Saccharomyces cerevisiae S288C: one gene and its partner. The gene in region 1 interacts genetically with each later gene. Each region holds a gene or a part of one and is shown in the gene's direction. Other genes may lie near its edges.

The links. Genes that interact genetically often act in the same process or in processes that back each other up.
Region 2: mutations in ERP4 (region 1) and STP4 together harm fitness more than expected from each alone (negative genetic interaction), as found in Saccharomyces cerevisiae (one large-scale study listed by BioGRID).

The regions. Positions count from the first base shown.
Region 1 is NC_001147.6:359,924-363,118, reverse strand, and holds ERP4 (Erp4p), read left to right. Parts: upstream 1-2,034; coding exon 2,035-2,658; downstream 2,659-3,195. Other genes in the region: PET127 (Pet127p), read right to left, coding at 1-1,707; YOR015W (uncharacterized protein), read right to left, coding at 2,767-3,126; protein phosphatase 2A regulatory subunit RTS1, read right to left, coding at 3,172-3,195. UniProt on the Saccharomyces cerevisiae protein: Involved in vesicular protein trafficking.
Region 2 is NC_001136.10:366,190-370,061, reverse strand, and holds STP4 (Stp4p), read left to right. Parts: upstream 1-1,850; coding exon 1,851-3,323; downstream 3,324-3,872. Other genes in the region: type 2A-related serine/threonine-protein phosphatase SIT4, read right to left, coding at 1-291.

The DNA.
Region 1 (3,195 bases):
GGATCGTTTTTCTTCAACTTCGGTTTTAAGCATTATTTTGCATTTTTCCCATTTCGTATTACTTGAGTTAAGTAACTGCTCAACGTGTTTCAAAATATTACTGAACAGATTCATAGACATCTTAAATTCCCTATTAGCCACCAAGCAAGCAATTTTCCTATCGTCCCTGTCATAGTGTAGAATGTAGTCCTCCTCACCATATATCCCTTTTGTGATATCATTCTTCTCCTTTAACAAACTGTCGAATTTGCTGTTATACGAAGAATGGATTATATAATCTAATTCGTCCAAAGGTAGATATTGGAATCCAAACATCTTAGAAATATTGTGGTATGCAACGAAAATACCGTCCATTTTGCCAATTCTAGCTTGCAAAGAATACTTTAGAAGGGCAGACCTGATTAGTTCAAAATATTCTCTTTCCAAAGACTCAAATTCCCCATAAACTTTATCTATCTCATATCCAGTTTGGTTGTTATTACTCTCTACATGTGATAAATCGTATCTTATGGCAGAAACTGCTCTTGTCTTCAGATCAAATACACCCGTTCCAGGTAGATTTGGGTCGTACGCGTCCAATTGAGATCTCACAATGAATTCATCTATACTAGAATAGTGATAATTTTCACTTTTTGAACTATTCTTCAGGGACTTTTCCGTTAAAAAGTCTTCAAGATAATGACCTAGTACAGAAAGCACAATCTCCCTATCCAGACTTCTATCTGAATCAATAGAACAAATGCCATTTCTCTTCTTTCTCAGAATGACTGCTGACGGAAAATATGCACTTTCTGAATAATTGCAGTTTTTTTGAGGAAAATTTTTCGATATCGAGGAATCAATGATATTCAATCTTCTGAAATTGGATAATAAATAGTGCAACTGAGAAAGTACTGATGTCATGGAACTTGATGAAGATATGTACTTTTTTCTATGTTCTTTGGCAACCTTTAACAGAGATTCATCTTTGTGGGGTGTGATGAATATTGGCTTGCTTTGTCCTTCTCCAGAGGAGTCTGTGTTCACATCTTTTTCACTTTTCTTTTCCAAATACTCTGGATTAATATTTTCCACTGCAGGGTCAAAATTATACATTCTGCTCCTATTATCTCTCAATTTTTGTAGCGACAACGGTTGGTATAACACTCTCGTTAATCCATGACCAATCCTAGGAGGCTTTTGGTTGTGTTTTTGAACACCATCTTGATTGTAACGTACTAATGCGTGCCTAATCTTCTGGACATTTATCCGAAAAGTGTATGAATTGCTATCTGAATATGTTCTGCTAGCGGGATATGTTCTCCTAGCGGGATATGTTCTCCTACCAGGATATGTTCTTCTACCAGGATACGTTCCTACCTTTGTCCGCTCCAAATACTTATCATGTCTATACTCCTTCTTTATATTTGTTTTCAGTAGATTAATCGCCTTGTCCATTTCTTCCGTATATTTTTGTCGACCTCCCTTTTCCTTGTTTCCAATGTCCTCTACAGTCGAATTTGTGTCATATATTTCATCGACCATCTCTAAAGCACTATGCAGGTCAGAACGTAGCTTGTCTGGTGTTTCTCTTCCACTAGGGGCATTTGTGAGAGCAGCGCCAAAGTGATAAATCGATCGCTGTTGATAGCTTTTAGCGGCGCTACCTATTCTGCAAGGCTCAACAGATAGACGTCTGGACAGGAATCTACAGTTGTAGAACCCCATTATCAAAACTATAAAAGTATCAGGTAGCGTTTGGCTCTTTTTTGTGCTCTCTCAAGTGCCCTGTTTATATTATATTTTTACATATTTGTTTCTTTATTAACCAACGGCATTGACGGAAACGCGCTTTATTATGGACTACTTTTTTTTCACTGTTTCCTGTTTTTTGACGTGATATACTCAAAGATGAGCGATTGACGATCTGAGAATTCTATTTGGGAACTCTTCTCTGCTTTGAAGACATTTATTTCCCAGCTGCCTTTGAAGTAGTTTCACGAGCGCTAGTGAAGTTTTTTCATAAATATATATTCCCAATCATCGCTAGGAATTATGCGCGTTTTTACTTTGATTGCGATTTTGTTTAGTTCATCTTTGTTAACACATGCATTCTCCTCTAATTATGCTCCTGTAGGCATATCATTACCTGCTTTTACCAAAGAATGTCTTTACTATGATTTATCCTCTGATAAAGATGTCCTTGTGGTCAGTTACCAAGTTTTGACAGGTGGGAATTTCGAGATAGACTTCGATATTACCGCCCCTGATGGCTCTGTTATCGTCACTGAAAGACAAAAGAAGCATTCTGATTTTCTACTGAAGTCGTTTGGTATAGGTAAGTACACTTTCTGTTTGAGTAATAACTACGGCACTTCCCCAAAGAAAGTTGAAATCACCCTCGAAAAGGAAAAGGAAATTGTTTCTTCCCATGAAAGCAAAGAGGACATAATCGCAAACAACGCCATCGAGGAAATTGATAGGAACCTGAATAAGATCACCAAAACAATGGATTATTTAAGGGCTAGAGAATGGAGAAACATGTATACTGTGAGTTCTACTGAGTCAAGATTAACATGGCTCTCATTACTAATTATGGGGGTAATGGTTGGTATCAGTATAGTGCAGGCATTAATTATTCAGTTCTTTTTTACCAGTCGCCAAAAAAACTACGTATAGGTTGCTTTTCAAGCTCTTAAAATTGTTGGATCAGCTGTGCTAAGGGGAAGGCACTTTTTTGTATCATGATCCTATTTTTTTTGTTATTTAATTATTTATGACATACCTTTATACTTTAGTTTTCAAAAATCCAATAATAGATAGGCAAGGTTTACGGAAAAGAGTGGAGTGCAAAATAAATAGAGGAAAGGCAGAAGGAAGAAGGAAAGCGAAAAGAAAAACGAAGATATATTTGGAGAAAAGTATAGAAATAATAAAATGAAGACACATCGATTGAAGTATGCTCAAATGATGAGAAAAAGAGACCTTTATCTCAGGCCACAAACAACCATTGTCCAAGTGGCTTATCTTTGCTATAGTTTTGTTCGAATATTCGGGGATTCTATCTTTGGTTTCTTCAACAAGTTGACCCCATTTACCAGTTCTTTTTTGCTCTTCATATACTGCTGCTCTTTTGAAATGTGGCATGCCCTAAACTTCCTCACTTCTTCGAGCTTGTAATGAATTGCTGTTTCACTGTATCTCGCTGTCACAATC
Region 2 (3,872 bases), on another chromosome or scaffold:
TAAAAGCGTAAAAGTTTCCAGACTATAGTAGCCACGATCCACGTAATCACCGAGAAAAATGTAGTTTATATCGTCAGGAAAGCCACCCGCCGTACGGAATAGCTCTAACAAGTCATGAAATTGGCCGTGTATGTCTCCACATACAGTAACGGGGGTCTGTACCGGCTGGATGTTACTTTCCTCCATCAAAAGTTCTTTCACCATTTCACACAGTTGTTTCATCTCGTTTTCAGTTAGCGCCTGGCATTTCTTTATTGTTTCAAGCCATTCGTCGGGGCCTCTAGATACCATTGTTATTGTTCCTTTTATTATGGATGTTTTTGAGCTTCAATAGTATTTCACCTTGTAATGTCGAATCTAAAAAGAGCGAGGAGGGGACTGAAGAATAATAGGAAGAGAAAGAGGGACCGTATGTGCAGAACTCCTTTATCTGTATGCTTATGATAGTATGCAATAACCTATTGTATTGCTTCTTTTTCTTTTTTATCTACCGTCTGTAGCTCTTCAATGCTCCATTACGTTGTGTGCGAGCATCACTGGGTTTCCACTGAAGGCTATATTTTTTTTAATTTTGCTGGGCTTCGACTCGATATGCATGTTTTTTTTTTACCGCTCCATGAGCGAAGAGAGAAAGAGAGCGAGAGCGAAAGAAAAAATACAGCGGACTTGACTAGACTTATTACCCGCAGAAAGATGGATATCACTTAACACGGAAGTATCGCTCGCGCCGCTTCATGTTACCCGCGGCTGTGTTATTCCCCCTTTTTCTTTCTTTTTCTTTTTTTTTTTTTTTTTTTTTTTTGGATTTCTTTTAATTTCATTCTTTTCATCTCTCCTGCGTCGCCTTACACTTCATGGTTACCAATAGCGTGGCCTTCCTTTTTTTTTTTCCGGGAACCGCCGCGGCTTTGCAATTTGCTTGTTAGTCAAACCCCGCGGTAGTTAAAATCAGTGACAAGAGCAGAAAAAACACCACACGCAATGGCCGCATATGAGGCAAATGGTGGGGAGGCACGACGTGGCCGCACAGGGGAAGGGGAGCCCACATTTGCGTTATTTTTTTTCCTCCGGCTGCTTTTTAGCCTTCTACGCGCGGGACGGCTTGCGCGCGTTCTCGGAACTTCTAATTAGTCCGGGGGGAATCAAGTTCCGGGCCGACACTTACACGAGCACATTGAGGAAAATAAAATCCGGGAATGTCTTGCCGGATATGACCTGAATTGGGAATCCCGGATTTTTTTTACTACTTCTTTCGTTGGCCTCATTCGAGTCTTTGAATAGAAAAAGAACAGATCTCAAATAGCCGCATTGATTCTCGCTTGGCTGCCACACAATTTGGTAGTGGCTGTCGGAAACCCCCCATGCGCTTATTGCTAGATTGGTCTTTTCCTTCCCTTACGGCCCGTGGCTAACTCTCAAGGATATCTCTAGATTGTCACTTCCTAGGGGCATTGTTAGTGGTATGGTTACTTAAACCTATTTTATGTACGTAATGCTCTCCTCGCTGTTTTACTCTTCCCTTTTCCAATTTTTTTTCTTCGTTTCCTTTTGTTTTCTACTACTGATAGCTCCCATCCGCAGAGGAACAGAGGGCGAAAAAAAAAGCACCATTTCTTAAAAGTTAAAGCTGCATCAGTGCGTTCTTTATTCTGTCTATTTCTCAAAAGCGCATATTTCCGTCTTTATACATTTATATATATATTCTAAGTGGAGCTGGAAAAAACATGGAAGTAAATTCGGTGCCCTATGATTAGGATATCTAATTCTTGTCAGTTGCTTTTCTTGGTTTGCAGTAGCTGTAACACTGGAGCGCTTGGAATATTTGTTACTTCTTTTCTTTGGCTTCCCCTATGCTGGTATCATCATCTTTTGCATCAAGCATTGACTCAGTAATGTCCCATGAGACGATGTCTTTACGGAGAAACCCTCCCTTTATAGATACTCCAGAAAAAATGCCAAACCCAACGGCTTCTCCCAATGGCACCATTCACCATTTGATAGATCCATCACTGCCATTGTTGTCCAGTACTACGTCGTCTTCGCGCTCTACCCTCAGTTCTACACTGAATTCTCCTCCACCTCCCCCATTAACTACATCATACTCTTCTTATAACTCCTCTGCATGCCAGTCTATCACGAGTTCGCCTACAGACAATACAGCCTTGGCACATAATTCCAAATGCTATTTCCCTCATAGCCTTTCTCCAACACCGCTGTCATCCAACAGCTCAAGCCATGTCATTTTGCCACCCATATCCTCCTTCACCAATTTAATTACAGTTGCAGAAAGAGAATTTAACGGCAGATCAAATTCCTTGCATGCCAATTTTACATCACCGGTGCCAAGAACAGTGCTAGATCATCACAGACATGAGCTAACATTTTGCAACCCTAACAACACAACGGGTTTCAAAACCATCACCCCCTCACCACCAACTCAACACCAGAGTATATTGCCAACCGCGGTAGATAACGTACCGAGATCAAAATCCGTGTCCAGCCTACCCGTTAGTGGATTCCCACCTTTGATCGTCAAACAACAACAGCAACAGCAACTCAACAGTAGTAGTAGTGCCTCTGCACTACCGTCTATTCATTCCCCATTGACTAATGAACATACAAGCAGGTATTCATCGTCTTTAAAGGATTCCGCCAAGATAACGAAGCAAAGAAAGAAAAAGGAATGCCCCATCTGCCACAACTTCTACGCCAACCTATCTACGCATAAATCCACTCATTTAACTCCGGAGGACAGACCGCATAAGTGCCCTATCTGTCAACGCGGCTTTGCCAGGAACAATGATCTGATAAGGCACAAGAAGCGCCATTGGAAAGATGAATTTATGCAAATATACGCAAGGGAGTCCGACAACAATAGTGGTGCTGACGATCAAGATGACACTGCCCGCACCTCCGCAAACAACGACAGCGACGACTCAAACGATAAACTCGCTGCCTCATCCTCTTCCGAAGAAACAAAACTACTGAAGAAAAACCAATTGAAATCACTATACAAGATTAAAGGTGCATTCAAGTGTCCTTACAACTCTACTCTGATCAATTTGGATATGGAGGTGTATCCACACAAGTCTAGATCACTCTATTTCGAGCCAATAAACTGTCATCAAACGGGCGTTTTTTCGCGCTGTGATACTTTCAAGAATCACCTAAAGGCTTTGCATTTCGAGTACCCGCCCAAGACCAAGAAAGAAGATAGAGGTGTTGTGCCGGGGAAGTGCAAGCATTGTGGACTGCAATTTCCGAACGTTGACGTCTGGCTAAATAAGCACGTGGGGAAAGGATGTGGCTACTCATATCACTAAAACCAAAGTCATTCACCGACTCATACATACACACACATACATACATTTATTTATTTATGCCCTAATAATACACATCATTTCTGCGTAAATTATTGTTACGCTGCCCTACGTTATTAATCTAGATTCTTGTTTTCTCTCTGTGTCTCGTTTCTCTTTTTAGGCATGAAGCGAAAAAATCAACAACCGCTATTGACAGGAAGCAAGCTGGCATGAGCCGTTTTTTTTACTTTTTTTGATTTTACCAGAAGGGCGTTGAGACCTGCATCAGCCGTTTGCGGATAGGTTATGCCAGTGATGAAGCACCTGATTCAACTGCCGGCTCTCCGATTGGTCTCCGATCGTTTAGTTCCTTATATTGTACACTATTTCAGCTGTACAAGCCTAGGCCCGAATCGAATTATAAGTCCGTCCGGCTCAAGTCATGGACTCATTATCGATTCGTCTTTTTTTAGCTGCCCCCACGTTATCTCTTCTTTTTTTTTTCTCTGCATCGCGGCGAGTCCCTTGAAAGGGTCGCGAACCTTCGAAGCAGCACTTCTTTTTTTCACA